3 linked regions of the Callithrix jacchus genome follow. The protein of the gene in region 2 interacts with the protein of the main gene of each other region in a pairwise test. Links are inferred from orthologs where the notes say so. Each region holds a gene or a part of one and is shown on either strand. Other genes may lie near its edges. The genes, in order: GFER, COPS5 and MAP2K2.

Region 1 (10,727 bases), on a different chromosome or scaffold from region 2:
TCTGCAGTTGCCAGCAGCCTCCGAGAATAGGTTTCCAGCAGCTGCAGGCGTGCCAGGCCGCGGCTCGTGCGCCCCCTGTGTGTCAATAGCGGTGCATCTAAGGACACCACAAAAAACGTACACTGAGACCCCGCTTCGGGCTTCACTGGTCCCTTGAGCCACACCCCCCACCCCCAGTAAGCCACCGCCTTCCCTGTCCCCGGCCCCAGGCTGGCCTGACCGAGAAGCTTTGGGAGAATGCGGTCGGATTTCCGAAGCAGGCCTGCCTCCACCGGAAAGGTCTCCTTGAGGTTCTTCTGAGGGCAAGAACCGGGGCATCAGTCTCCCAGAGCCCACTGTGCACCCTTAGGAGGGTGGGGTCCCTCACCCTGATGGCAAGGGCTGGGAGCCTCAGGCAGGATGAAGGGCCTCCAGTTAGTCACTGACAGGTCTTGCACTGGTAGGCACCCAGGTGGGGAAGCCTCAAGCATGGCGTTAGGGTGGCCCAGGGTCACTCACCTTGAGCCGCCTGAATTCCTCCCAGCTCCTGCACACAAAGGTGTCGCTGCCGTCTGACCATCGCACGGAGAAGGCAAATGTCTAGGGGACGTAAAGTCATGGGTGCCTTGGAGATGCTGACGGAGGCACCCCCTTCCTATGCCTTAGGGCCACTAAAGACGCAGCCAAGTCTTACTTGGAGCCTCTTGATCTGCACCAGAGCCGCCCCTCGCACTGAATCCGGGTATCGGGGGCCTGCCATGGCTGCGGGCTTCAGGCTGCAGAGTCCTGAAATACTGGGTAAGGATTCCTCTGCCTCCCTGTGCTCCAGAGGGCTCTGGGGCACCTAGGAACCTGGCTGCCTGGGACAGAAGCCTGTAGGGTCCTTGTGGGGCTGCCCCAGCTGAGTTCTTTCCAGCTTTCTTGCTGTCTCCCAAGCCCAAGATCTGGGAACGGTAGCACAGGGATTGGGGAACTTCCAGGCAGAGCTGCTAGGAGGAAGAATGAGCGTCCTGGCCCTAGAGGCGTGCAAGACTAAGGGGCAGAGGGTGGGAGGAACTGCTGCCTGGGGCCCTCCTGCCTGACTCTGGCCAAGGGAGGAGGGAGGAGAAGGCGGGGCCCATCAAAATGCCACCAGTCCTGCCCACCTCTCTGGATTCCCCCACCTTGCAAGGTACTTGGCCTGGTATGACCTTCTGCCAGCGTGTGCCCAACAACTGTCTTAGAACTGGCCCGGGGATTTCTGTGCAGAACCGAGGACTCAGTGCTCAAGGCTTTAAGTGCTCTGTCTGGCTTAATCCTAATGCTGGAGGAAAGGCCTCTTCATGTCCCCAGCTCACAGAGGAGGAAATGTGAGCTAAATGTATAATTATTGTGAGTTTTTCTGTATATGTTGGGGGAGGGGCAGACCTCACAGGCTCACCCCAGGGGTTCCCCTGCAGTGAGGAGACTTGGGGTAAGAGAAAGACGGCCCATGTGTATAGTCCCTGGCACTTGAGGGGTGAGGGGTGGTCAGGGAAGTGGTCACCAGGACTGTTTTGAGAGCCACCTCTCAAACAGACCTCCTGCAAACACCGCCTAGTCAGAGGCTTGCCCAGGTGCCACACCTCTCTGGCTGCTTCCTTATAGCTTCAGAAGCCACATTCAACCTCGGTACACAGTGGTTCTTCCTGGTGCTGGAGTCACCAGTTCTGTGTTGGGATGCCCCCACTCCAGCCCCTTCAGGGAGCGGTCGGCCTCTGGGGCATCCCTGCAGCAATCTGCCTTGGCTGCAACAAAGGGCCTTTGTGTGTGTGTCACCAGCACTCTCTGAGGCCCTCCAGTTGTCCCTGGTCTTGGCACGGACTAAGAACACCTGCTCACATAGGGCTGATTTGCAGGGCTCCCCCAGCCAGCTCTCATCTCCTCCCTATCTCAGCTGAGGGCCCCAAGGACCTGGCGGTGAATCAACCCAGGGCAGACTTTGCTCTCCTGGAAGACAGTAGAGAAGCTAGGGAGAATTTATTCACAAGCAGTGGCCTAGAGGAATTCTGAGGCCCCTCCACACCCCAGCTGACACAGCCTGCCCCACACCGCATCGGCCCTGGATCCTTCCCGCTTTTTTTTTTTTTTTTTTTGAGACGGAGTTTCGCTCTTGTTACCCAGGCTGGAGTGCAATGGCGCGATCTCGGCTCACTGCAACCTCCGCCTCCTGGGTTCAGGCAATTCTCCTGCCTCAGCCTCCTGAGTAGCTGGGATTACAGGCACGCGCCACCATGCCCAGCTAATTTTTTGTATTTTTAGTGGAGACGGGGTTTCACCATGTTGACCAGGATGGTCTCGATCTCTTGACCTTGTGATCCACCCGCCTCGGCCTCCCAAAGTGCTGGGATTACAGGCTTGAGCCACCGCGCCCGGCCCCTTCCCGCTTTTTCCTCTCCTACCCTCTTTTCTTACCGGAATGGTACAACCACCCCACCCTCCATCCATATCCTCCTCACTTGTTCCCACAAAATCCACCCCAAGGTCGGGTTTGGTGCCTCTCACCTGTAATCCAAGCACTTTAGGAATCCAAGGCGGGGGAACTGCTTGAGCTCAGGAGACCAGTCTGGGCAACATGGTGAGACCTCCATCTGTACCAAAAAATATATACAAAAATTAGCTGGGTGTGGTGGCACGTGCCAGTAGTCCCAGCTATTTGGGGAGTTGAGGTGGGAAGATCACGAGCCTAAGCAGTCGAGACTGTAGTGAACCATGATTGTGCCATTGCACTCCAGCCTGGGGAACAGAGCAGGACCCTACCAGAAGAAAGAAAAGAGAAAGAAGGAAGGAAGGGGGAAGGAAAGAAAGAAGGGAAGGAAGGAAAAGAAAAGAGAAAAATCCACTCTCTGTAAGAAAGAAAGAAATCTAAAGAAATGCACTCCTTGTATAATAGCCAGAGGAATTTTCAGCAAACTGAAATGGGATCGGATTGGGTGGCCTTGCCCAAAACTGACTGGCATCTTCCCCTCCCTTGGAATAAATTCCCAATCCCCGCAGCTGCTGACCAGGTCCTTGATGGGCCCACTGGCCTTTTTTGTTCCTGCAAAACGCCAAGACCCTGCCACCTTGAGCTTGGTCTTTTTTTTTTTTTTTTTGAGACGGAGTTTCGCTCGTTACCCAGGCTGAAGTGCAATGGCGTGACCTCGGCTCACCGCAAACTCCGCCTTCTGGGTTCAAGCAATTCTCCTGCCTCAGCCTCCCGAGTAGCTGGGACGACAGGCGTGCGCCACCAGGCCCAGCTAATGAGCTTGGTCTTAAAGGCGCTCCTCAGCTGATTCCTCATCCTTCAGGCCTCTGCCCAAGGGTCACCACCTCAAGGAGGCCTTCCAGATTTACCCCACCCTTGCACGGCCCCACCAGTTTGTACGGGAACATTCACGAGCGTGACTCGTTTTCCCCCCCCGCCCCCCCATCTTGACCACTGAATTATGAACAGAGGAGATCAGGCAGCAGAGCTCTGTTCCCTGCACTGCCCAGCGCCTGGAACAGCGCCTGGAGCAGAGAGGCCACTGCACAAATAATAGCGTAAAGGACGAATGAAAGCAAGGAGGCAGAGGAATCCCAGAGGTGGCTCCAACTGGGAGCCCGACCCCTCATTCGGGCCGTGGGACCGGCGGCAGCTGGGGGCGCGCCGAGAGCCAGAGGCTCTCAAACCCTCGGCAGCCGCGCCCCGTCCCGCGTTGCCAGGCGCCCGTTGCCATGGCGCCGGGGCGAGGCCGCGAGCCCAGCACTCTGTGCGGTCACGCCGGCCCCGCATTGCCAGGGTTCCCAGCACCCGGCGGGTGGACGCGCCCCTCAGCGGAGGGCACAGCGTGGCCGCGGACACGCAGGACGCTCAGAACGGAGCGATGGGGGCGTCGCGGGTCGCGACACGTACTTCGTCTGGGCCTCAGCCCAGGTCCACAGCATGGCCGCGGCGCACCTTCCGCCACACTCTGCTGTTCTACCCGAGGAGGCGAGAGCGCCGCCACGGACTGCGCAAACCCGCCGCGGGTCGCGGAGCGCCCGGATGCTCCAGCTCCGTCCCCTCCCAGGTCGGCGCCGCGGTCTGTGGCTCCGCCTCCACCCGGGTCCGCTGGCCGGCCCCCGCCCCCAGCCCTCGCTCAGGCCCGGCCCCCGCCTCCGACCCCGCCCCCAGCCCTCGTTCGGGCCCGGCCCCCGCCTCCGACTCCGCCCCCAGCCCTCGCTCAGGCCCGGCCCCCGCCTCCGACCCCGCCCCCAGCCCTCGCTCAGGCCCGGCCCCCGCCTCCGACTCCGCCCCCAGCCCTCGCTCGGGCCCGGCCCCCGCCCCCAGCCCTCGCTCGGGCCCGGCCCCCGCCTCCGACTCCGCCCCAGCCCTCGCTCAGGCCCGGCCCCCGCCTCCGACTCCGCCCCCAGCCCTCGCTCGGGCCCGGCCCCCGCCTCCGACCCCGCCCCCAGCCCTCGCTCAGGCCCGGCCCCCGCCTCCGACCCCGCCCCCAGCCCTCGCTCGGGCCCGGCCCCCGCCTCCGACCCCGCCCCCAGCCCTCGCTCGGGCCCGGCCCCCGCCTCCGACCCCGCCCCCAGCCCTCGCTCGGGCCCGGCCCCCGCCTCCGACTCCGCCCCCAGCCCTCGCTCGGGCCCGGCCCCCTCGAGCACGGCGCGCGCCTCCCGCTGGTATTTTCGCACGCTGGCCTGGAGGCCGACCTGGAGGCTCATCTGGAGGCCGAGCTAGCCCGGCAGACCTTGCGCGGGCAACATGGCGGCGCCCGGCGAGCGGGGCCGCTTCTATAGCGGGAACTACTTCTTCTTGCCCGGTGGCGCGCGCTCCGAAGTGATAGACGACCTGGCTACCGACGCACGGGGCCGGGGAGCGGGGCGGAGAGACGCGGCTGAGAGGTCAGCCCCGACGCCAGCCCAGGCGCCGACCTCCGAGTCTCAGGTCACCGAGGACGTCTCCCGGAGGCGGCCTTGCCGGGCCTGCGTGGACTTCAAGACGTGGATGCGGACGCAGCAGAAGGTGCAGATCCCTGCCCGACCTCCCCCAACCCCGCGCAGCCCCCGCCCAGGTGCCCCGGCAGAGCTCCCCAGGGTTGCCTTTCCCTGAACCTTGTCCCCCAGTTAGGTCCGGCCCTACAGGCATCATCTGCGTTTGGGCTGGATCGTCTGCAGGACGCTGGCCGGAGTCCACTGGGCCACCGGCTGGGCCGTGCAAGGGGGGAGCTTTGGGCGCTTCTGTTCGGAGAATGAACTCACTCTCGGTCGGCCTTCCGCAGCAGGACAGCAAATTTAGGGAGGACTGCCCGCCGGATCGCGAGGAACTGGGCCGCCACAGCTGGGCTGTCCTCCACACCCTGGCCGCCTACTACCCCGACCTGCCCACCCCAGAACAGCAGCAAGACATGGCCCAGTTCATACATTTATTTTCCAAGTTTTATCCCTGTGAGGAGTGTGCTGAAGACCTAAGGAAAAGGTAAGATGCGTTGGCAGGCATCAGAGCTTTACCCTGGAGCCTGGGCCTGGGGCTCCTGACTGACGCTATACCGGGGAACCTAGAGAAACCTGCAGAGGTGGCAGAAGCTTGCTGGGGAGCAGGGACCACCAACAGGTGAGGACAGAGGCTATCTGAGCCTCCTCCTCTTGTCTGAGGCCAAGCTGCCAGGATTTGCTGCTGGGAACTGCTCTCCCACGGCCACAGGTCTCCCAGGAAGGGCCTCCCTGCCTTGTTTGGCACCAAAGGCAGCTCCCCGCAGGTTAGGGAGGACTCCACTTTGCCTGACTTCTAGACTGCTGTTTTAAAATCTTGGAAACCCACTACTTTTGCTCCCAAGAGCCACCTCTTCCTCACTGAGGCATCCAAGAGCCAGAACTGGCCCTTGCAGGTGTTTCTAGGCCAGATGTGTGGGGCAGAGCTGCCATTGTAGCTTTCAGCCTGGGCAGTCAGAATGAGGTCTCTTGCTGACTGAGGCATCAGAGCCTCAGGTCCTAAGAATCAAGTCCAGTTTTCAGTTACAAGGCTGTGTCCAGCCCCACCCAGTTCACACTCTGCCTGGGGCCAGGGACACTAGATGCCGCCTCCTGGGTGTTAGGAGCTTGTAAAATTGCTAGGTCTGTGCTGTAATATTTTTCTTTGAGGCCCTGTCGGTGTTTCAGCAGCCCTGGGAATTTGCCACACCCAAGGAGCTGAAGGGTCAGGCCTGTTGTGGGAATTCCCATCCCTTGGAGCATGAGGGCACTCCGAGGTGAAGCCCAGAGCAGTGGCCCAGCTCTCCGTCCTTGGGAGCAGACAGAGCTGGCAGGGGTAGTGGAGCCGCTGCGTCCTCCCATTCTTCACATGCTCTCCCTACGCAGGCTGTGCAGGAACCAGCCAGACACCCGCACCCGGGCATGCTTCACGCAGTGGCTGTGCCACCTGCACAATGAGGTGAACCGCAAGCTGGGCAAGCCTGACTTTGACTGCTCAAAAGTGGATGAGCGCTGGCGTGACGGCTGGAAGGATGGCTCCTGTGACTAGAGGCTGGTCAGCCAGAGCCCATGGGACAGCCAGCCAGTGCCCTTGCAGTAGCCTGGCTGCATAGGGGCAGGGCACTCATTAAAGTGCATCAGGCTCAGAGCCTGTTATGTCTCAGTTGAGTGGTCCCAGGACACTGCCCGGGGGGCCCTGCCCCTCTCAGGTTTGGAACAGAGAGGCACCCACAGCAGGCACCTGCTGGCCGCCTCTTCAGTAGAGCCCCCAAGGAGCAGCAGCTGAACTGCAGGTGAGCGAGGCCGGAGGAGCCTGGGCTGCTCCTTGCCATTCAGGATGTGGCTTCCTGCTCTCCCCATGCCCTGGTGCCTCACTTCTCACACAGGAAGACTGGGCCTGGCTGGGCGACCCCATGCCTGTCCCTGGAGCCCAGGCCATTGCCTACCCACTGTGCAGCCAGGGATGCCCGCAGGCCCCTGCCCCCCATGGCTCTGTGCTGCTCACTTCATGGGCTGAACTCTCCACTGTGCTCAGTCCCTACAGGAAAGCTCAGGTGGGGTTTGTCTGAGGGTCCACCATCCTGCCCACTCCCTGCCTGGCTCATGCCTGCCAGCGTTGTGCCATGCCTGTCCACAGGGGATTTGTGCTGTCCCCTTCTTCAAAGTTTGAGGTCCAAATAAAACATTGAAGTGACTGAGGACCTTGGCTTTGTGTGCTTTGTGCTAGGGCCTGTAGCAGTGCACGGGGCCTGCTCTGTCCTTCTGTGTTCAGCTGCATTTCCTGCTGGGGTCCTGGTTCCTCAGGAGGAAAGGGAGGAACCCCAAGGTGAGAGAGGGCCGGGAACAGCAAGGACGCTGGTTGGTTGGGGAAGTGGGGGCCAGAATCAATGATACGGGGGTTCGAGGAGTACAGGGAGGCCAGACAGCATGAGGCCTCCCAGGCCCCAGAAAGGCCATGGCTTTTACCCCCAGCTCTTGTGACAGTAGGTTCTTGGCGGGTTTGGAGCCAGGGTATGGCAGGAAGTGATGTGGCTTTGAAGGGTCCTCTGGCTGCTGAGCTGGGATGAGGCAGGCAAGGGTGGAGCAGGGAGGCTGGCGAGGAAGCTGGAGCAATCACTGAGTGACCCCAGAGAGCAGACTTACCTCATGTTGGGGCTGACGTGGGGTCCACCGAGGGGAGAGTCTGAGAATGCTCAGGTGAGGATGGAGTCCTCAGAGACTGCTGGGCACAGCTGTGTGTGCTGGAGACAGAAAAGGCTATGAGTGCAGTGAGTAGGGGGTGACGGGGACCAGCTTTTGGGCCTCCCCAGCCAGAGCAGCCCAGCAACAGTGTCTCTTGTGGCTTAAAGCTCTAGGGACCTCTATCCTGAGGCCTGTGTGGAGGGAGCTGCCATATCACCCACCAGATTGGTCCTGCGGGGTTGCTGGCTTCTGTAGAGACTGCCCCGGGGGCCAAGTGGCACAAATGAGAGAAAGGAGATGGGGCTCTGCCAGGAGAGAAAGTGCCCTTTCCTCACCCAGACTCAGTGCTTCTCTCTGGCCTTTTTCGAGGCCTATGAGTGCCTCAGGAACAAGCCGGGTCCTCTGGTGAGGCTGTGGTCAGCTCAGGAACGCACTGCCTGTATCTGCTGTCCTTCCTAGCTGCCTTACTTTTCCCCTGTCTTTCTTGAAGTTTCACTCCCAAATAAAACTCTTCACTTTGACTCAGAGGCTGTTGAGGGCATCCAGGCCAGTGGAACTGAAATTCAAGGAAAGGTTCTAGCTCAAGCTAGTGTTCCAGAGCTGTTGACACACAGACCAGAAGAGTCAGCACAGAGGGAGGAGAGACCCCCCCCCAACCACCACCAGGGTCAAGCCCTGGGCTCCTAAGGCTCACAGGTTACAGAGGAGAGGCCCATGAGGTAGGAGGAGCACCAGGAGGGAGGAGGATCTCCAGGTGGGGTGCAATGGCTCACATCTGTAATCCCAGCACTTTGGAAAGCCAAGGTGGGCAGGTCACTTAAGGTCAGGAGTTAGAGCACAGCCTGGCAAAACCAAAATTAAAAATATTTTTTAAAATTAGCCAGGCACGGTGGCATGCCTGTAATCCCAGCCACTCCAGAGGCTGAGGCAGAAGCATCACTTGAGCCTCTGAGGCAAAGGTTGTGCAGTCTTGAGCCAAGATTGAGCCACTGCACTCCAGCCTGGGTGACAGTGCAACTCTGTCTCAAAAGAAAAACTGAGCTGACAGCAGCATCAGACTTGCCCTTGGGATTGGCACGGAGAGGTCAGTGGCAGCCTTGAGTTTAGGTGGTGGTGGGAGCTGATTCTGCCGGGTCTCAGAGGGAGAGAGGAGGGGTGGTGCAGGCAGAGAATAGAAGACTCAAGCTTGCTGCTCATAACTGCGGGCAGCTGGAGGGGAGGGAGGTGGGGTCAATAGTGTGGCTTTTTAGGAGAAAGTGTAGCATGTCTGCGTGCTGATGTAAAAAGGAAAATGAATGACAGAGGGGAGGCCTGGGGCCAGTGGGTGAGACAGTCGGGATCAGACGCACAGTAGATGGATTTGAAATCCAGTGAGTGGCGCCTCTGGCAACAGCTGCTCTGCCCGACTGTGCCCAGCCTGACTGAAGAAAGAGCTCCACACCAGAACCAATGGGCTCCAGGGGGGCTGGGCAAGGCGGCACCATGTACACCAGGTTGTCGTAGCAGGCAGGTGGGCTGTTTACCTGTCTGAAGAACAGGGTGGTAACAGACTCTGCCTCCACAGGTGACGCACCTGGTGGTGTAAATGCTCAGTCAGTGCAGACATCTCAATGCTCTAGACAGAAACCTAAGAGTCATCTGAACTTCCAGCCCAGCAGGAACATGAGGGGAGGGACCCTGTTGCACCCAGGGCTGGGGTCTGGAGGGGACCCAGCAGGGCACAGGACAGCCAGGCACTGACCCCATCCAACTGCTGGTCTCTGATGCCTCTCCCTGCCCTCGATTCCAGACTAGGTGCTGCAAGTGCCCTAGGGAGACCCAGAAGTAGGGAGGGCATTGGGAGCGCCAGCACCTGGCCACGGGCAAGGAGCAGACACATAAAAACCAACACTCTCATTGGCGATGGCCACGGTGGTCCTCCTCATCCCTCAACAGGTGCTCCTGGGGTGGAGGCCTTTCTTGCCACCAGACTCTCCCAGCCCAAGGCTAGAACCTGCTGAAGGACCAGCTAGAGCACTGTGGGGGGCCATGGGAAAGATCCCAGTTGCCCATCTGGTCTTCCTGGGACCAGGGCCAGGGAGCCAGTCCCCTCTCCCGACGGTTGGGAGAAGATGCTGGAGCCCGTGGACCTCCTACTCCTTCATTTTCTCACCCAAGGGCCCTTCGCAGAGGAGCGGGTTCCTTTTCCTGTCTGTCCTCCCGGCTATGGCAAAGTCTGCACCCAGCGCCCTTGCCCCCTTACTCCGGGGATCTGGTTGGCGGGTTCCTGAGGATGGTCTCAATCTCAAGATCCCGGCAGGCAGGTGCCGGTGGGGGATGGGAGGTGGGCGCGGCGGAGAGAGAGGACGGCCCTGGCCCCGCGCGCGTGGACCCAGTGAGGGGCACGGGCTCGGCCCCGCCCCGTCCCGCGCGCCCCCGCAACTGCCGGCGCGCGCTCCCGGGAGGCGGCGACGGCTGCAGCGTCGGTAGCATCAGCATCCGCGGCAGTGGCCTCGGGCGGGGCTGGACGGACGGACAGGCGGACAGAGGGCGCCGGGGGCGCGCATCCCGCCCGGGCCGGCCATGGAGGGCGCCTCCTTCGGTGCGGGCCGTGCGGGGGCCGCCCTGGACCCCGTGAGCTTTGCGCGGCGGCCCCAGACACTGCTCCGGGTCGCGTCCTGGGTGAGTGGCCCCTGCGCGGGCCCCCGCCCCTGCCTCGCGACCCTCATGCCCCTAGCCGCCCCCTGACCCCTGCTTCTCGCCCCCAACCTCTCTCTCATCCTTGCCGGCCCCTCCCAGCCGGCCTCAGGTTGGGGTGACGTCACCGGGCAGGGCGCGCCCACCTGCGGGCGGGGGAGGGGCCGGCGGCGACGGAGAGGGACCTTGAGAGGTCACCGCCGGTGGCCCCTACCCCTGCCTCCTCCCCGGGTCTAATTCCAGTCCCTTTCCGCAGCCCTTACTCCGTTTTTCCTGTTCTCGTGACCTGGAAGCAGGCTCTGGGTGGGGACGGGATTCACCGAGGGGCAGAAGGAGGGGGCTACGGGAACCGAGAGAGATGGGGCAGCGCCTCCCCTTTACCCTGCACGCACACCCTCCGGGCTCCTTGGCAGGGAGCCTGTCCCTTGGCCCTCAGGTCCAGCTGTGAG
Region 2 (10,161 bases):
GCAAGAGAAGAATTATGTGAGGGGAAGCTAGAAAGCTGGGGTCTAGGTGGCGGAGGATGTTACATAAAAGGTTAAGAATTTTTTTTTTTTGAGACAAAGTCTTGTTCTGTCACCCAGGCTACAGTGCAGTGGAATGATCTTGGCTCACTGCAACCTCTGCCTCCTGGGTTCAAGTAATTCTCCTGTCTCAGCCTCCCAAACAGCTAGGACAGGCGCCCACCACCACCATGCCCGGCTAATTTTTTTATTTTTAGTAGAGATGGGGTTTTACCGTATTGGTCAGACTGGTCTCAAACTCCTGACCTAAGGTGATCTGCCTGCCTTGGCCTCCCAAAGTGCTGGGATTACAGGTGTGAGCCACCACAGCCGGCCAAAAGGTAAGAAATTTAGACTTTATCCTTTGGATAACTGGGACTCATGGAAAGTGCTTGAGTAGAATGGAAGGTACTTTAGCAGATTAATAATACAGTCAAAGGGGTGTTTTATAGAAGCCTGGCTGTGGCAGTACCATCAGGACATGTTACAGGAGAGAAACTGGAGGCAGGGATTCCACAAAGAAAGCCACTGCAGCAGAGCAGATGAGAAGAGACAGAGGTTCAGACTCAGAGATTAGTGGTGCAAAAGATAAAGACACATAGGTACCCCTTGTAAAACAGAATGCTTTTCTTCAGCCAGAGTCTTGCTCTGTCACTTAGGCTGGAGTGCAGTGGCGCAATCTGGGTTCACTGCAGCGTCTACCTCCCAGGTTCAAGCGAATGTCCTGTGTAGCTCCTGAGTAGCTGGGATCACAGGCATCTGCCAACATGCCCAGCTAATTTTTTGTACTTTTAGCAGAGATGAGGTTTCACCATGTTATCCAGGCTGGTCTCGAACTCCTGACCTCAAGTGATGCACCCACCTCAGATCCAAAGTGCAAGAATGCTTACTGATTAAATTTTAGCAATGAAGAAATATAATGAATTAAGCAGAATAAATTAAATAAAACATAAAGACATCAGGATGGGCACGGTGGCTCATGCCTGTAATTCCATAATCCCAGCTAGAAAACTAGCTGCCCCCTCTTTGGTAGACTCATAGTTCAGAGTGGCAAGGGAAGGTATTTGCCAAAAGAAAGTTATTTAATGCATGGTATGCAACAAGATCTTTAAAAAAATGTTATTTAAGAAAGAAAGGATAAACCAACAGAATAGACAAATGGGGACAGTAGATCTGCTCGAATACAGAAAACATAAAGCATTTCAATCTTTTTTGTTTCAAAGGATAAATCTTTGATACCACTATAACTCAAATAAAAAATAATTGAGAGTTCCTCTGAAGATTAAAGTATCACAGCAAAGGTGTTTCCAGGCTTAGGAGCAATTCTCTCAAACAGGAATTATTTAAATTCTTTTTAATAGGGCAAATTAAATAATGAACACTAAATCTCTATGTGAATATATATTTGTTTAGTTGGGCATGGTAGTGTGCTTGTAGTCCTTGAGCAACCTAGTGAGACTCTGCCTCGAATAAAAAAACACGAACCAAAAAGGAAGAAAAGATCATTGTATTTACAGAAATAAGTCAGAGATTACTGAAAACCACATATAATTAAAATTTCAATTTTAGAAATTCTAGAATTTTCTAAGAATCTCTAAATAGAAAAATAAGTGCAGTAGCAGCACATGGGTAGCCAAAGTATTCTTTGAAGTTACAATAAGTGGTATAGAGAAAAGGGGGCACTAGATAATCACTTATTCATTTAAGCAGTAATTTTTTTGGTGCCTACTCTGCTGTGTGCCATGCCCTGTTTTAAACGCAAGGATACGCAGTTCACATTCTAAAGGGGTCAAAAAAAAAAAAAAAAAAAGAAGCAAAAACATCAGATGGTTGCAAGTGCTAAGAAGAAAAAGTAGGGAAAGAGGAAACAGAAGGTGTTATTTTCCATAGGGTGACTTATGAACATTTTCTATTATGATGACCCTGCAAACAGATACTCAATGCTTAGTTAGCGAGCCACATGGAAATAAGGGAGAACGCTCTAGGCAAAGGGAACAGCAAGTGTCAGGGCCCTGAGCCAGGAGCCTGGTGGCACATTTGACAAACCATAAGGAAGTCAATATGGCTGGATCGAAGATCAGCAAAAGTTCAGTGACAAGAGATGAGTTCACAGAGGTTGTAGGAGCCAGACCACAGAAGGCTGTGTAGTCTGTGATAAGGACTAAGGATCTTGTTCTTGGTGAGATGGGAAGTCATTCTGAAACGGAAGAATATGATCTGACTTAAATCTTAACAGAATCAGTCTGGCTGAAAACAGACCTTTAGTAAGTGAAGGGCAGGCCATGCACAGTGGATCATGCCTGTAATCCCAGCACTATGGGAGGCCAAGGTGGGTAGATCACCTGAGGTTGGGAGTTTGAGACCAGCCTGACCAACATGGAGAAACCCAGTCTCTACTAAAAATACAAAATAAGCCAGGCATGGTGGTGTATGTCTGTAATCCCAGCTACTTGGGAGGCCGAGGCAGGAGAATCTCTTGAACTTGGAGGCAGAGGTTGTGATGAGCCGGAATCGCACCATTACATTCCAGTCTGGATAACAAGAGCAAAACTCCATCTCAAAAATAAATACATACATACATACATACATACATACATACATACACACAAGAAGTGAAGGGCAAAAGCAGAAAGACTTGCCAGAAGGCAAGTGTGCTTGATTGAGGCTCCAGATGGCAGTGGCTTGGGTGAATGTGATAGTAAGAGAAGTGGTGAGATATATTTAGAAGATACAGAAAATTGTCTCCACTGGCTTAACATAAAAAAAAAATTAAGATATAATTCAGACATCATAAAATTCACCATTGAAAAAGGTATGTAGGCTGGGCATGGTGGCTCACACCTGTAATCCCAGCACTTTGGGAGGCCAAGGCAGGTGGATCATGAGGTCAGGAATTTTAGACCAGCCAGGCCAACATGGTGAAACTCCGTCTCTGCTAAAAATACAAAAATTAGCTGGCTGTGGTAGCACGTGCCTGTAATCCCAGCTACTCAAGAGGCTGAGGCAGGAGAATTGCTTGAACCCAGGAGGTGGAGGCTGCAGTGAGCCACGAAGATTGCGCCACTGCACTGCAGCCTGGACAACAGAGCAAGGCTATGTCTCAGGTTGGGGGTGGGGGGAAGGTATGTAATTCAGTATTTTTAGTAAGAATTCTTAAACTTTATAACTTTAACTTTTTACTATGGCTTCTTAAATTTTTCAAATATTTAAAAAATTAGAATCTTTGTTCAGTGGAAATTATATATTTTGAGGGCTGCAGACATGCTAGTGTCAGCTAGCCCTGAACCCATCTTTCACTTGTTATAATTTTATATAGGCTAAGTATCTTGTACATTGAAAAAATGTTTAGGTTGTGTGAAAGGCAAATGACATACTAGATTGAAACATTAATAAAAAATGCAAAAGAGAAAAATTAAAAATGCAAACATTCACCTAAATTCATATACTTTTATTATTATTGTAAAAGGTATCACAAAATGCATTTTGTCTGAGACTTTTTTCTGATCTGTAAAATAATGAGCTTAGACTAGCTGATATCTAAGGTTTCTTTCAGCCTCCTGATTGCTAGTACTAGGACTATGCCACATCATCTGGCTAACTTTGAAAACATTTTTTTTTCTTTTTATCTTTTTTTTTTTTTTTGAGATGGAGTTTCGCTCTTGCTACCCAGACTGGAGTGCAATGGCGCGATCTCGGCTCACTGCAACCTCCGCCTCCTGGGTTCAGGCAATTCTCCTGCCTCAGCCTCCCGAGTAGCTGGGATTACAGGCACGTGCCACCACGCCCAGCTAATTTTTTGTATTTTGAGTAGAGACGGGGTTTCACCATGTTGACCAGGATGGTCTTGATCTCTTGACCTCATGATCCACCGCCTCGGCCTCCCAAAGTGCTGGGATTACAGGCTTGAGCCACCGTGCCCGGCCGAAAACATTTTTTTTCTGAGACAGAGTCTCAGTCCGTCACCAAGCCAGAGTGCAGTGGCATGGTCTCGGCTCATTGCATCCTCCGCCTCCTGGGTTCAAGTGATCCTCCTACCTCAGCCTCCCGAGTAACTGGGACTACAGGTGCGCGGCCCCACGTCCAGCTAATTTTTTGTATTTTTAGGAGAGACGGGGTTTCACCATGTTGGCTAGGATGGTCTCAATCTCTTGACCTCGTGATCTGCCCACCTTGCCCTCCCAAAGTGCTGGGATTATAGGTGTGAGCCACTGTGCCTGGCCCAGATATGTTTTTAAATTACTTACTGTTTGCAGTGTACACCAAAGTCTTCTATTTTATTAAGTGGGATAGTCTGGTACTCAGAAGGTCCTTCATCAGGAGGTTTGTAGCCCTAAACAAAAATGAAGAAAACAGAAGATTTATATGTGTGTGTGTGTGTGTGTGTGTGTGTATGGGGGAACATCATGATTTTTATGCAGCTTTATAAATATAGGATCAATTTTGGGAGGTAAACATTTAATATAAGCATTCTAATAAAAAAAAATACTGTTTCTACTTTTCCCTCCACCCTGTTTGATGGCTGTAGGCTGGATTTGGCTCATAGATTTATTTTTCTTCTTCTTAGGTGATGTACTTTTGTTCTAATAACTATTTCAGATTGCAGACTCCTGCCAGGGAATGAAATAGACCTGCAGATTTAGTTTGTTTTCTAGTACCTGCCAGATTGCCACAGGAGCACAGGTACTTACTAATAAATAAAGACTGCTTTCCCAGTAAAATTAACAATATAGAACATAAATGTTATTACTCTTTGCTAGGGACATAAATATTATTAAATTGTTTTAACAAAAAGAGCTATTGCTAATGTCTTTAACAATAAGTCAAATATTTGGAATTTAAAAAATATAGAGACTTCCTATAGTCCCAGCTATTTGGGAGGCTGAGTTGGCAGGATAGCTTGAGCCTAGAAGATGGAGGCTGTAATACACTATGATCGTGCCTGTGAATAGCCACTGCACTCCAGCCTGGACAACAGAGTGAGACTCTCTTTAAAAAAAAAAAAAAAAAAAAGAGTTACCTTTGGGTATGTCCTAAAGGCGCCAAGATTCACTTTCCCTGCAGATATCGTTCTTGTTGGATCAATCTACAAGAAAGATGTATTTAATATTTGCTGATATAAAACTGTATGCCTTTTAAACATTATAAACCTATAAATGTATACATACATATAATACTATATATATATATACACAATAACCAAATAAGAATAAACAAACCAAAAAAACCATAAAAGTTCAGTAAGGGGGTATATATAAGTGTCTCACAGTTAACTTAGAGATCAGAATTCATTATTAAAACATTTACGAATGTTATTTAAAGGTTTGCACATCTATTTTTTAAAGTTTTATTTTTTCCTTTTAATAGGTGAATAATTCCTACCTTTTTCATAGAAACCTGGATTGCATTTAAAATGCCCTGAGCATAACAAGAGCTGCTCTAGCAATTCCCACTTAACTCAGTTCAGTCAACACTGATTGAATGCCTATGATGAGCTGGCACTGAGCCATAGATGCTATGACAACCCACATTTTACAGAGTGGGGGAAGTGAGAAGCACAGTGGTTAAATAACTTGCTTAAAGTCCTAGCTTCTAAGAGATGGAATTCACATTCAAACCTAGGCAGTCTGACACCAGAGCAATTTTTCTTTACCACACTGTTCTTATTTCTCAGTATACTTGCTTCAGCAAATCTTCACAAAGAACATAATTAAACTAGTTTAAAATTCTTACCACCACTGCTACAAATGGTTCCTGGAACTGCTGATTGAGCATCTGAGTACTAACATCAATCCCAGAAAGCCAGCAGCCATAGCCAGGGTGGCTATGATACCACCCAATTGCATTTTCAAGGCGACCAACCTAACAAATAAAGGGGCAAAAAAGTTTAAGATTACTGTTTAACTAATTTACAAGGTTCTATCTAGTACAATAAGGGTAACCAGTATCCTTCCCATCTCTTTCTCCTCAACTACTTAGTTTTCTCAGCCCAGATGTGAAATCTACAGGCAATTGCTTCCCCTTACAGATATATTCTTTGCATACAGAATATTGTTTGCACATATAAAGATTGATAAAAACATACACACACACAATAGCATACCACATAACATAATAGTGTTTTACGCTTTGCTTCTTCACTCAATAAACTTGGGAGTTTGCTCCATGTAAGTTATCAATATATATGAGTGTAATCTTTTTTTTCTGAGAAAAAAGCCTGTCACCCAGGCTGGAGTGTGGTGGTGCAATCTTGGCTCACTGCAACCTCCGCCTCCCAGGTTCAAGTGATTTTCCTGCCTCAGCCTCCTGAGTAGCTGGGATTGCAGGTACATATCACCACGTCCGGCTCATTTTTTTGTATTTTTAGTAGAGACGGGGTTTCACCATGTTGGTCAAGCTGGTCTTGAACTCCTGACCTTGAGATCCACCCATCTTGGCCTCCCAAAGTGCTGGGATTACAGGCATGAGCCACCGTTCCCAGCCTCAGTTACCTTTTATTTCTTTTAAAGGCTGCCTAGCAGTCCATTGATGGATATACATAATTTATTTAACCAGTTTTACACTCAGGAACTGAGTTAGGTTGTTTCTAATTGTGTGTGTGTGTTTGTTTTTTGAGACAGACTTTCGATCCTGTTGACCAGGGTGGAGTGCAATGGCATGATCTCGGTTCACTGCAATCTCTACCTCCTGGGTTCAAGTGATTCTCCTGCCTCAGACTCCCAAGTAGCTGGGATTATAGGCACCCGCCACCATGTCCAGCTAATTTTTTTGTATTTTCAGTAGGGAGGAGGTTTCAGCACGGCCAGGATGGTCCCCAAATCCTGACCTCGTGATCTGCCCATCTTGCCCTCCCAAAGTACCAGGATTACAGGTGTGAGGCACTGTGCCCAGCCCAAATTTTTATAATAAGTGTGAGAGTTTATTTGAAAAAAATAAATAAAATCCATGCTACAGACTGGGTGCAGTGGCTCATGCCTGTAATCCCAGCACTTTGGGAGGCTGAGGTGGGTGGATCACTTGACGCCAGGAGTTCGGGACCAGACTGGCCAATACAGAGAAAACCTATCTCTACTAAAAATACAAAAATTGGGCCGGGCATGGTGGCTCACGCCTGTAATCCCAGCACTTTGGGAGGCGGAGGTGGGTGGATCATGAGGTCAAGAGATCGAGACCATCCTCGCCATGATGAAACCCTGTCTCTACTAAAAATACAAAAATTAGCTGGGTGTGGTGGCATGTGCCTGTAGTCCCAGCTACTTGGGAGGCTGAGGCAGAAGAATCGCTTGAACCCAGGAGGTGGAGGTTGCAGGGAGCCGAGATTGCGCCACTGCACTCCAGCCTGGCAGCAGAGCAAGACTCAGTCTCAAAAATAAATAAATAAATAAAATAAATATACAAAAATTATGGAAGGGCACGGTGCCTCATGCCTGTAATCCTAGCACTTTGGCAGGCCAATGTGGGCAGATCACTTGAGGTCAGGAGTTCAAGACTAGCCTGGCCAACATGGCAAAATCCGTCTCTACTAAAAATACAAAAATTATCCAAGTGTGCTAGTGCACACCTATAACCCCAGCTACTCAGGAGGATGAGGTTGGAGAATTGCTTGAGCACAGGAGGCGGAGGCTGCAGTGAGCTGAGATCATGCCATTGCACTCCAGCCTGTGCAACAGAGCAAGTCCCTGTCTTGAAAACAACAACAACAACAAAACCCCACAAAAAACAAATAAAAAAAACCCCATGCTATAAATCTTATCAGGCTTTTAATCTCATATATTTTACATAGAAATCATTAAAATTTAATGTAAAGGGGATAATTTTAAGTCTAAAAACTCAAAAGTCACCTTGAGACTCTAATTTGCAATTAATAAATTGTAAGAAACAACATTTTTACCTGTTTAGCATTTTCTATATATGCGGCCATGTACTCATATGCAGCAGCCTGTGCATTTACTCGGGTTTCAGTGCCCTCCACAGGCAAAGCAAAACTGTCCATAATGATCATGGTTTCACCATCCACCTTTCCTAGCATCAGACCCATCACTTCTAAGTTGCCTCCTGATCTGGCGTGCATCACCATCTTCAGTAGAGCCAATGCTGAGATTTTGCAGTACTTAAAGTAATGGTGACTACAAAACAAAATCACGATGCAATTAAATTTCTTATATAAAGCACAATTCAGAATAAAGTATTTCTGAAGATAAAGAGTAAGTATTGAAGGAATATACAGTGATGGAAGGGGAGTGTAGACTATGGGGAGAAAAAGTTGAAAAGGAAAATTTCTGCAGGGTGGAAACAAGCATGTTATAGTCTTGTAACATATCATCCTTGGGGGAGGGGAAAAGTGTGAAATAGTTTTTTAAAATGTGCTATTCAAATAAGGGAATAATAGGACCAGTTCAATTTTTTTCTCCATTAATTTAGAATCACCCAATCTTGGATTCTGACTGCTTGGATAGTCGTGCCTAACTGTTTTCAGGCCTAACCTCTAGCCTAATGGTTAAGGATGTGAGTTCTGACATTCATCTGCCGAGGTTTGAATCTTGACACCGCATTCCCTAGCTGTGGCATTGGGACAACCATGTAATATCTGTGCCAAGGTTTCCTTTTCTGTAAATAGGGATATTCACAGTAGTTGTTATGATGAAATAAAGTAAATGAAATGTATATAAAGTGCTTAGCTTAGTGCTTTACACATACTAGAAACCTAGTAAGTGCTAGCTGTCATTAGCATTATTAATTATTAACCTGTCTTTTAATCCTATTCTCAAAGAACAGTGTGTTGAAGGGTGGGATTCCCTGTATGTCAGCCTCAAATTAAAAAGTAGCTCTAAGATTATAGTTTCCTATGATCACTATTTCAGAATTTGTCATCAGTAAATTAAACTCTTGAATAAAAGTACATTTTTGTCTCATTGATGCAGTCCAAGATAGCTAGGATGAATATAATTAGAGTCATAATTAGACAGTGAGGCAGGCTGTTTCTAAATATTTAAGAGTACATCAACCTAAAATGCAGCCTGCTACAGAAAGAAGACAACCAAGCAACTTAATCAGCCATAGAGAGCAGTCAGTCAACGTATCTACAAAGTTTTTTTAGATGTCTGCCCACAGAAAGAATCCAAATTTAATTCCTAAGCTTTGCCAGATTTCAACCGAAAGCTGAAAAATGTGTAGACTTCATGTTGGAAGTCAAAACATGAATCGAAATCTTGGCTTCTCCCTTTACTGGAGAAACGAAGAAAGACAAATTACTATGCTCCTCTTACATATATTTTAGAGGACTCTTTTTATACATTATCTCATCTTTATGACAACACCAATAGGTAGGTCTTATTTACATGTTACGATAATTGAAGATGGATAAGTAAATTTCCTAAGGTCAATTAACTAGTTAGTGATAGTGTGAGATTTGATCTTAGGTCTGACTAATGCTCAGTTAGGAGTTCACTTATCTCAGTGTGACCATAAGTTACATAATGCATTTGCTTGTTTTTTCTTTTAATTTGTAAAAAAAAGGATAGATATACTGTACTGGGTTGTCATCAAGATTAAATGAGGTGGAAATCTCTAGCTAGGTGCCTCCACAATTCACCACTGTGGAATCTGAATACTGAGAGACGTCTACGGCCGTAACACCCTGAACGCACCTGATCTCGTCTGAGTACTGAAAGGCAAGGCTAGCCCTGTAAAAAAAAAACTGAAGCAGTAGAAGTAGGTCTTCTTTTTGACCACATCTCTCCTTTCTATCTATCCATTAGCTTTTGTGCTCTTTTTACTTTCTCCCAAACACTGCTCTCAGGAAAAAGAAAATATGGGTAAAGATCCCTTGACTTGTCACCACTCCCAGGGAAAAATGGATATTGCTAAAGGGCAAAGAGCCTTAAGCTCTAGTTTTATAATATTTGGTTTATGGGGACTGGTGGAGTAACATTTTAGAGACCAGGTAGAGCCTCCGTGTGTCTCCTAAATAATTACCAGCAATCGAAAAACTATTATAGGCCCAGGCCTGATGCTTGTAATCCCACCACTTTGGAAGGCCAAGGGGAAAGGATCGCTTGAAGCCAGGAGCTAGAGACCAGCCTGAGCAACACAGCGAGGACCCATCTCTATTTAAAAAATATAAAATAA
Region 3 (10,161 bases), on a different chromosome or scaffold from region 2:
CAGAGCCTGCGATCCTGCTTCACTTCCAGGCTTGGGGGCAGGCTGGCATGGTAGCCCTGGGGAAGGAATTCTGGCTTCCTGGTGGGCTCAGGGTTCTGCCCAACCCTGCGCCAGGATTCTGGCTGGGCAGGCCGGGCCATGGGCCCCACCCAGGACCCGGGAGTGGCACATCTGGGTCCCTGCCAGGGGTGTGGGTGACCTGGCTCCACCTACCATCTATTGACAAACTCCTGGAAGTCCGGGGTGAACACACCGTTGGGCAGCTTGGGAGGCGGCTGCGGAGGAGAACAGAGGGTGGGTCAGCCCTGGGCATCCTTGGGACCCGTGGCTGGACCCCACCTGGCCCCCCGCCCTGCAGGCCTGGTCGACACCACACACCACACCGGGCTGCACTGTCAGTGTTGGCCTCCCGAAAACCCTTAAGAGCCATGGCCAAACCCCTCGCTCAAGTCTTGTCACTTAATTCCTTCCCCAGAGTGACGCTGGCTCAAGGATGAGCTCTGGGACTGGGCCCCACAGGGGGACGTCTGGGTCCAAAGTTACTCTGTTTTGAGACAGAGCCTTGCTCAGTTGCCCAGACTGGAGTGCAGTGGTGTGACCTCTGCTCACTGCAGCCTCCGCCTCTCAAGTAGCCAGGATTATAGGCACATGCCACCACACCTGGCTAATTTTTGTATTTTTAGTAGAGATGGGTTTCACCATGTTGGCCAGGCTGGTCTTGAACTCCTGACCTCAGGTGATCCGCCCGCCTGGGCCTCCCAAAGTGTCTCCCAAGGATTACACACTTGAGCCACAGAACCCAGCCAAACTGGGTCCAAAGTTTTGAGGCCAAGCACTGGGGAGTCTGGCCCAGAACACACGTCCCTGGAGCGGGTGCGGCCGTGGAAGTGGTGCCAGCAGTGGAGGCTCAGGCCCCTCCTGTGCAGGGGTGGGAAGAGGCGATGTGGCGGGGGACGTGAACACTGGGCCTGGGTGTGGCTACCAGGTGCCGGGAGAGCTGGGTCACCAGGGCCACCCCGCCTGGCTCTGTCATTATCTTGCCACCCAACCCCAGGCCTAGCCCAGTCTGCAGGCAGCTTAGATGCCCGTTTGTCTGCCCCAGCTCCAAAGGGCCACACAGAAGCCCACAGAAGGTCCAGGGGGTAGCCTGCCCTGGGCATATGGTCAACAGGGCTTTGGGGTCCAGTCTCGTGCCTCCCTGACAGCTGCAGGCCTGGAAGGAGACCACGCCCCTCCTTGTGCCTTGGTTTACTCATCTGGGCAGTGGAAACGCTCGTACTACTGCTCACCAGTGGTTTTAGGGACCTATAGGTTCTTCTAGGCCCTCTGGGCCTCCTTCCAAGAGGCAAGGGCCATGCCTGTACCTTTCTCCGAGGAAGCAGGGTGATTTATAGTCCATGCCCACAGGCTCCAGGATGCTCTGATGCAGACACTGGGCCACCGTTCAAGGGGCAGCTTGGCTCCTCGGCCTGAGCCCAGGGCTGCTGGCACGTGCTTCCCTCTGGACTCAGGGTGAGAGGCTGTGGTGAGAATTCTGGGTTCGTCTTATAAAAAGCAGTGCTTGGGGAGGAGCTGGCTTGTGCCGCATGGGGAAGGCAGGAGGCGTGGTGCACCTGGGACTGGCTCTGTCCACCCACCCTCCCCAGCAAAACCCAGTCGAGTTTGCTGTGTCTGTTTTTTAGTGCTGGATTCTGGCAGGAATGATTAACTTCACTCATAAAAGAAATACCAGCCAGGCACAGTGGCTCACACCTGCCATCCGAACCCCCTAGGGAAGCTGAGGCAAGTCGGAGGATTGCTTGAGTCTAGGAGTTCGAGACCAAACCTGTTGCCTGGGCAACATAGCATTATCCCGTCTCTACAAAAAAATTAAAAAGTTACCCAGGCATGGTGGCTTGTGCCTGTGGTCCCAGCTACTTGGGAGGCTGAGAAGCAAGGGTCACTTAATCCTGGTAGGTGGAGGCTGCGGTGAGCTGACTGTACCACTCCACTCCAGCCTGGGCAAGAGTGAGATAATCTCTTAAGAAAAGAAGCGGCCGGGTGTAGTGGCTCACACCTGTCATCCCAGCACTTTGGGAGGCTGAGGTGGGAGCACTGCTTGAGGCCAAGAGTTCAGGACCAACCTGGCCAATGTACCCAGACCCCTCATCTTTAAAATAAAATAAAAAAAAACAGAAAAGAAAATGTTAGGTGCTGTGGCTCATGACTTAATCCCAGCATTTCGGGGGGTGAGTCGGGTGGATCACCTGAGGATGGAGTTTGAGACCAGCCTGACCAACAGGGTAAAACCCTGCCTCTCCTAAAAATACAAAAATTAGGCTGGGCGCAGTGGCTCATGCCTGTAATCCCAGCACTTTGGAAGGCCGAGGTGGGCGGATCACCTGAGGTCAGAAGTTTGAGACCAGCCTGGAGAAACTCTGTCTCTACTAAAAATACAAAATTAGCCGGGCTTGGTGGCACATGCCTGTGATCCCAGCTACTGGGGAGGCTGAGGCAGGAGAATTGCTTGAACCCGGGAGGCGGACGTTGCGGTTAGCCGAGATCATGCCATTGCACTCCAGCCTGGGCAACAAGAGTGAAACTCTGTCTCAAAAAAACCAAAAAATTAGCGGCTGTGGTGGGAATCCCTGCCTGTAATCCCTTAGGAGGGTACAGCTCCTTGGGAGCCTGACACAGGAGGATCACTTGAACCGGGAGGTGAAGGTTCCAGTGAGCCAAGATCAGGCCACTGCCCTTCAGCCTGGGCAACAGAGCGAGACTCCATCTCAAAAAAAAAAAAAAAAAAGCTGGGTGTGGTGGTGTGCCCCTGTAATCCCAGCTGCCCGGGAGGCTGAGACGGGAGGCTCACATGAGCCTGCAAAGTGGAGGTCAGTGAGCAGAGATTGCACCACCACACTCCAGTCAGAGCAACACTCTGCCTTAAAAAACAAACAACAAAAAAAAGAAAAGAGAAGCGAAAGGGCGTGGCGCACAAACCTCATTCACAATATAGTCCAGCAGTTCAAAGATGGCCATGGCAGGTCGGCTGTCCATCCCGTGACCTGCATGGGGACAGAGATGGACGTGAGATGGGCTGGTGGCCACCGTGTATCTGCTGGGGGTTGGGCTCCAAGGGGGCTGATCACCGCCGAGCGCCCCCCTCCCCATGCCAGCTGAAATCGGAGGCCGGTGTGCAGAGGCCGGAGATGAAGCTCCCTGGCCTGTCTCTGGCCTCCATTCCCTGGGACAGCTACTTCTCACCTGAGCCTCTAGTGAATTAAAAAGAAAAAGCCAAAAGGAACATGAACATTTTCTGAGAAGTCACACATTTGGCTCGGTGAGGTTTGCCAGCCATGCCAAAGTCATCACCCCTGCTCCCTGGCGGGCAGGGGGAGGGACGGCGCTGACCGCAGGCAAGGACAGCAGTGTGACCTTGCAAGGAGCTGCCGGTGGTGATGGCGGCAGGCCCCGAACGCCACTCAGAACAGGAGACTGGCTGGGGGTGGCTGACCCCTGTCTGAGAACCAGCCGGCCAGGCCTGGGTTTGGCTGCTGGACTTTCGCCTTCTGCTCCTGTCGCAAAATGGGCAAGCGGGCTGGGGCCATGGGCTGGGGGCGGGGCTGGCAGGCGTGGAAGGGGCCCCGTATACCACCTGGGAGGGGCCGGGGCCAGGCCTGAGGACTAGCACCCGGGGAGTCTCCCTGGGATTAGATCAAGACTTCACAGCAGTCTGGCTGCAGGGGAAGAAGTGGGCTTGCCAGTGCTGTGAAAATCACCTTCTTACAGCCCCAGTGTCCATCCAGGGTGGACGGACCACAAAACGTGGCCCATCTGTGTTACGGCCTCTCAAAAAGAGCCAGGCCATGACACCCCCCATGGCGTGGATTGAGGACACTGCGCTCAGGGAGAGAAGCCACACGTAAAACCCAGAAGGCCACACAGTGTGTGACCCCATTTCTGTGCAATGCCCAGAACAGGCCAGTCCACAGAGGCAGGAAGGGGATGCAGAGTGATGGCGGATGGGGATGGGGCGCTGAGAAGGTTCTGGAATTGGAGATGGTGGGGTGCAGCACTGTGTGAATGGAAACTGCTGAACTGCTCACCTGAAATGAGTGAGTTGTGAGGGGTATGAGCTTTCTAGTTCAGAAATGAGGTTTTAAAACCAACTGTAGTCCTTTGTGGGTCTAACTCACTAACTCTCCCTAATGTCTGACTTAAAAAAGAAAAAAAAAATCACAGGACCCTCCTGTGATTCTGTGCTGGAAATGGGTCCACTCCCCTGCTCCCCCTCAGGTGGTGCAAGTGTCCACTCGGACATGTCTGGCTGGGGACATGAAACTCCTGCTCCAAGGTGCCCACCCTAAGCACTGGATTGTCCTCTGCAAGCCCAGCTGTCCCCAGGGTCTGTGCCCTCCCACCCCCTCCCAGGCTGCATTCCCTCCTGCGTGTGTTGGGGCTGGAGGCAGCAGGCCACCGAGGGACATGCCAAGTCAGCTGTCCACTCTGGGGCTCCCTGGAAGGCTTGGGCCGCACACAGGAGCGTGTGTCACCTGCAGGGTCTGCGCTCTGTGGTGGCCAACGCCTTCTACCTTTGTCTGTTTGAGTGCTTTCAGGAGAAAATGTTGGAAAATGCAAGGGCCCAGGCCCCAGGCGGCAGAACCACGTGCCCAGATCCCTCCAGCTGGCAAGGACAGGTGCAGCTGCCCCGGGCAGAACAGGTCTGGGGTGCTCGCTGCTTCCAGCTCTGTCCCCGGAAACACCAGGACCATCTGAGGACTGCTGACCGCAGTCGGCACTGTCCAGGGGGACAGGTGGTGCAACAGGGGCCAGAGGGGAGGCAGCTGCTTGTCCCGGCACAGCAGGCCCCGAGCAGGGTACTGTCTGTCCAGACCGGAAGTGGCAGACTCAGGCCGTACCGCTCATGGGGCGCCCAGGGGGTCTCGGCCGAGGTGAGATGCTGTGAGGCTCTCCTTCTGCTCCGTCGACCACGGGCCGACCAAAGATGGCCTCCAGCTCCTTGGCGTCAGGCGGGGGGATGGGGTACCTCCCGATGGCCAGCTCCACCAGGGACAGGCCCATGCTCCAGATGTCCGACTGCACGGAGTAGTGCGTGCCCTGCAACCGCTCCGGCTGCAGCAGAGGCGGGAAGAAGACAGCCAGAGGGGCGGGATGGCAGCTGGAACCGGAGGGGGCTGGGTGGCAGGGCAGGCTGGGCCCGTTCCAGGCCCAGTCACCCTGTCCATGGCTAACAACCGCAGCGATGGGGAAGCCTTAGTGATTCCACCTCCCAGCTCACCCACCCGGGGCCGCCGGCAGCTGAAGAGCCTCCAGCCTCAGGCCTGGAGCGGGTGCTGGCCGCAGCTCCCGAAGAGCCCGCCGTGCTCTGTGCTTTCAGAAATGGACAACGGGCCCAGGAAGAAGGGCTCCTTCTCCACGCTGACGTCTCAGACCTGCTCTGAGGCTCAGCTGGGCAGACTGCGGAATCCCCAGTCATTTCCTCAAAGACCCGAGAGTCCAGGCCGGGCGCGGTGGCTCACGCCTGTAATCCCAGCACTTTGAGAGGCCGAGGCAGGAGGATCACCAGGTCAGGAGATCAAGGCCATCCTGGCCAACATGGTGAAACCCCGTTTCTGCTAAAAATACAAAAAATTAGCTGGGCTTAGGTGCCTGTAGTCCCAGCTACTCAGGAGGCTGAGGCAGGAGAATCTCTTGAACCCAGGAGATGGAGGTTGCAGTGAGTCGAGATTACACCACGGCAGCCTGGGCAACAGGGTAAGACTCTGTTTCAAAAAAACAAAAACAAATAAAAAAGAAAAAAAAGAAAGGGGCTGGGTGAGGTGGCTCATGCTTGTAATCCCAGCACTTTAGGAGGGTGAGGCGGGTGGATCATCTGAGGTCAGGAGTTTGAGACCAGCCTGGCCAAATGGTGAAATCCTGTCTCTACTAAAAATACAAACATTAGCCAGGTGTGGTGGCGCGTGTCTGTAGTCCCAGCTGCTTGGGAGGCCAAGGCAGAAGAATTGCTTAAACCCGAGAGGCGGAGGCTCTCGCGCCACTGCACTCCAGCGACACTGCACTGGGCGACAGAGCAAGACTGTCTCAAAAAAAAAAAAGAAACCTGGTAGGCACTGCTAGTGACAAAAAGCTACGAGAGAATTCCAACAGGAAGGGGAAATCTGGCAGCGCGCGGTGGCTCGGTGCTGGTGGGATCCCAGCACTTTGGCAGGCCGAGGCAAGAGGGTCACTTAAGCCGAGGAGTTCATGAGCAGCGTAGGTAATACAGATAAAACATACAGAGCAGGGGAATCCGACAAGCGGGTTCCAGGAGGCACCGGCTTTAGGGAAGCCTTGTGGCAAGTGGGGAGAGTTGATGGGAGGGTGGGTGTGGCTGGGCGGGAACATCCCGGGGCGCCAAGGAGCTGGGCAAGCCTGTGGGAGGCAGGAGAGCTGGGGGACTCACAGCCATGTAGGAGCGTGTCCCCACGAAGGAGTTGGCCATGGAGTCGATGAGCTGCCCGCTCACCCCAAAGTCGCACAGCTTGATCTCCCCTCTGGAGTTCACCAGGATGTTGGAAGGCTTCACATCTGGCAGGGGCAGGCTGCAGGTGAGAGGCGCCTGACAGCTGCCCGCCGGCCCGCGGGGCTCTGGGGTGGGCGGGCTGGGTCTTACCTCGGTGCATGATCTGGTGCTTCTCTCGGAGGTACGCCAAGCCCCGGAGCACCTGCAGGGGAGTGCCGAGGGGGTCACGGGACAAGGCCACCGGGGCCTGACTCCTGAGCAGCCAGAGCTGGAGCAAGGGACCCGAGGCGGGAACCCTGTTTCAGGCTGTGCTGAGCTTGCTGGGGCGGAGCCAGCCAGGGCAGAGACAAGACAATTCGGAGGGCCGTGCCGGTGTGTGCGAGTGAAGCCCGGTTCCCACCCGGCTGTAGGGTGGTGACGCCATTACTGCCTCCGAATCAGACCTCGAGGCTGAGCCCCACAGAAGCTGGGGCAGTGGCCACGGCCTGGGAGTAGACAGGCTGTCGAGTCCGCCCACACCAGCCAGAAGAGCCGCATCTGTCATGCATCTGGGGTCCCAGGGACTGTGCTAAGGGCCCCCAGATGGGGTGGGGTAAGGGTGCCTGGGAAGGGCGCCGTTTCCCCCAGGCCCACCCTGGAAGGAATATCCCGAGAAGTGAAACAAGCAACAGGGGTGGCGCTGACGGCAGTGAAACGCCGCGTCTGGCAGCAGGTGGCCTGCGGCGCACTCCCTCCCTCCCAACACCGCTACAGTCAGGCCAGACTCGCCTGCAATGGGCAAGGCCTAAGCTTCTAGAAGAAACACGTGCAGTCTTCTGAGACCTCAAGGCTCTGCGGAGTGGCTGTGCTGGAGACCCAGCAGCAGAGAAGCCCCCCCCCCGCCCCGCCCTGTGGCTTGGTCAGGTGGCAGTTCTAACAGCAAGCGGGGAGTGTGTCTGGAGGTCCTGGTGTCCCACCTCCCACCCTAGGGTTTCCCCTTCAACAAGTTCCCGTCCCCTGCAACGTGCCAGCCGCCAGCATCCCTCTGCCACGAGGGCAAGAAGGGACCAGCATGGCAAACAGAATGCTAAGAGAGAGGAGGGACCTCACATCTCCATTCGGCAGATGGCGACCTCAGGCCCCAAAAGGGATGTCACTTGTTCAAGCTCCACAGGGGGTGGCTGCAGCCTTGGCCACTGTCTTTCCACAGGGGCCACCCTAACTCCCAGCACACGGTGAGTGGGTCCTGGAAGCCTGGCCGTGCGGGGTGGTCTGCGCAGGGTGTGGGTGGGGTCGCGAGGCGGGTCTGCCAGGGACTGACCGCAATGCTGACTTTCCCCAGGATCTCCTCGGGAATCCTCTTGGCCTCTTTCAGCACCTGGTCCAGGGAGCCGCCATCCTAGAGGGCACAAAGGCAGAGAGTGCAGGCTCTGCACAGGTGGCCGGGAAGCCAGGGAAGCCACGGACGCATCCCCAACTCCAGGTGAGGGGGTGGTCTGCCCCTGACTGGAAGCAGAGGCCAGAGCCCAACTCCGCCCACTGGCCAAGGGCTGGGGGGCTTTCGACAGTTCTGCCTTCAGTCGGCACACCCACCCCCAGAGGTGGGGAAGGAACAGGGCCCAGGGGGCCCCCGCCTGCCGACCCATCCCAGAATCAGTTGCGTAACTCTGACCTCCTGAGGTCGCCGGGGCAGAGGCTCTGCTCCGGGTCCAGCCCGAGTCCTGGCCGGGGCTCAGCCAGCTGTGGGGCCGGCACTCCCTGCAGCCTGCACACTGGGCTTGTGTGAGCGGCATGGGAGGCAGCCGGGCTGGAAACCAGCTTCTGGGGCCTGGGTCCTCTTCCCAGCATGTGAAGGGAAGGGGAACATGAGGGCATGGAGGAGACTTGGGCGCTGCCCCACATAGGAGGAGGCAGCAGGTTAGCGTGTGCCTGTCCAGATGCCCACAGGGCTCCCTAGCTGAGCCCTGCGGCTCCACTTCTGGGCGCCTGCTCTGTGCCTGTCCCTGCCGTCTAGGGTGGAAAGGCCAGGCTAAGTGTGACCGGGTGCCGGTGGGGTGCGTGGACTGCAGGAGGGACCCCAGTGAGGCCAGCCCAGGTGATGGTCACCTCAGCCCCTCCCACAGCCTGTGCTGGGCATCCTGCGGAGAGCCTGGAGACAAGTCTGCCCGGGTGGACTGGTCCCTGGGTGTGGCCCCATATCCAAGTCACAAACAAGGGAACAGAAATTCCCCAAGGCTGCCGGGCAACAAACCTGGGGACCAAAGCCCCTGAACACCAAAACCCCAGGCCCTGGGGCCACCTGAGGTGCCTCCTCAAAGGTAGAGGCTCTGGACACACCTGCCAGGCCACCCCCATGACAGAAGGCGGGGACAAGCCGAGTTTCCACTGCCACATGCCTGGCGTGTGTCTCTTCCGCACTGAGCAGAGAGGAAAGGGGAACTGGGGCTGGAGAGGTGGGCGGGGGGAGCCTAGAGGTGGGCAGGAGGCACCAGGATTTCTCCCCAACGCTGCTCCAGGACTCCCACAGTGCCCAGCCTTCCCAGGGACGGCTTTCATTCACGTGGTGAGGAGGCAGGGGAGAAATCCCAGACTAAGGAACGCCCGGGTCGCTGCTCTCTGGCCACTTCTGCCCGGCTGGGCTCGGAGAGAAAGGCTGAAGGAAGTTCTGGAAAACCCAACATGCTTTGAGGTCTCTCGAGCACACACATGACTCCATCCACCAGCTCCAGACTGAAGACACAGACACAGAGGCTGAGGGGTGGCTGTGGCGGGGCCTCAGACAGCCTAGGACCAGGGCTAGGACCCCGGCGAGCCAGGGCCAGGGGGAAGCTGCTTCTATTCTCGGTTTTTATCAATCAACCTTAAAATAATTATTTTAGGCCGGGTGCGGTGGCTCAAGCCTGTAATCCCAGCACTTTGGGAGGCTGAGGTGGGTAGATCACGAGGTCAAGAGATCGAGACCATCTCGGTCAACATGGTGAAACTCCGTCTCTACTAAAAATACAAAAAATCAGCTGGGCATGGTGGCGCGTGCCTGTAATCCCAGCTACTCGGGAGGCTGAGGCAGGAGAATTGCCTGAACCCAGGAGGCGGAGGTTGCGGTGAGCCGAGATCGCGCCATTGCACTCCAGCCTGGGTAACAAGAGCGAAACTCCGTCTCAAAAAAAAAAAAAGAAAATGTTCTTGTAATTGTAATTTTGTTATGCAGGTAGTATATGAACACATTTGTCTTATAAAAAACTCAAATGTAGGCCGGGTACAGTGGCTGATGCCTGTACTCCCAGTACTCAGGGAGGCTGAAGCGGGCAGATCATCTTAGGTCAGGAGTTCGAGACCAGCCTGGTCAACATAGTGAAACCCCGTTACTACTAAAAAATACAAAAAACTAGCCGGTGTGGTGGCGCGTGCCTGTAATCCCAGCTACTCGGGAGGCTGAGGCAGGAGAATCGCTTGAACCCGGGAGGCGGAGGTCGCAGTGAGCCGAGATTGCGCCACTGCACTCCAGCCTGGGCAACAGAGCGAGACTCCGTCTCAAAAAAAAAAAACAAAACCAAACCCTCAAATGTTGATCAATAACCCAGATCCCCCATCATCACTTCCACTGTTCTCCCCGGAAGTGAGACTCAGAATGCTCAGAGCATCTCGCTCTCTCTTCTTTTCCTTCCTTCCTTTCCTTCTTTCTC

Evidence for each region.
Region 1: the proteins of COPS5 (region 2) and GFER interact in a two-hybrid assay, tested with the Homo sapiens proteins (2 studies listed by BioGRID). The link is inferred for Callithrix jacchus from reciprocal best matches to the Homo sapiens genes COPS5 and GFER.
Region 3: the proteins of COPS5 (region 2) and MAP2K2 interact in a two-hybrid assay, tested with the Homo sapiens proteins (2 studies listed by BioGRID and IntAct). The link is inferred for Callithrix jacchus from reciprocal best matches to the Homo sapiens genes COPS5 and MAP2K2.

Annotation. Positions count from the first base shown.
Region 1 is NC_133513.1:4,759,437-4,770,163, reverse strand, and holds GFER (FAD-linked sulfhydryl oxidase ALR), read left to right. Parts: upstream 1-4,696; 5' UTR 4,697-4,714; coding exon 4,715-4,975; intron 4,976-5,231; coding exon 5,232-5,428; exon of another isoform or gene 5,429-6,306; coding exon 6,307-6,469; 3' UTR 6,470-7,119; downstream 7,120-10,727. Other genes in the region: NOXO1 (NADPH oxidase organizer 1), read right to left, coding at 1-75, 221-296, 499-579, 674-765, 1,584-1,745, 2,503-2,588; uncharacterized protein LOC144578555, read right to left, coding at 8,115-8,158, 9,126-9,175; SYNGR3 (synaptogyrin-3), read left to right, coding at 10,165-10,263.
Region 2 is NC_133517.1:22,933,536-22,943,696, forward strand, and holds part of COPS5 (COP9 signalosome complex subunit 5), read right to left. Parts: intron 8,160-10,161; coding exon 7,925-8,159; intron 5,896-7,924; coding exon 5,767-5,895; intron 5,120-5,766; coding exon 5,054-5,119; intron 4,367-5,053; coding exon 4,281-4,366; intron 1-4,280. UniProt on the Homo sapiens protein: Probable protease subunit of the COP9 signalosome complex (CSN), a complex involved in various cellular and developmental processes.
Region 3 is NC_133523.1:3,840,435-3,850,595, forward strand, and holds part of MAP2K2 (dual specificity mitogen-activated protein kinase kinase 2), read right to left. Parts: intron 7,878-10,161; coding exon 7,800-7,877; intron 6,702-7,799; coding exon 6,650-6,701; intron 6,565-6,649; coding exon 6,440-6,564; intron 5,110-6,439; coding exon 4,896-5,109; intron 3,042-4,895; coding exon 2,977-3,041; intron 276-2,976; coding exon 214-275; intron 1-213. UniProt on the Homo sapiens protein: Catalyzes the concomitant phosphorylation of a threonine and a tyrosine residue in a Thr-Glu-Tyr sequence located in MAP kinases. Activates the ERK1 and ERK2 MAP kinases.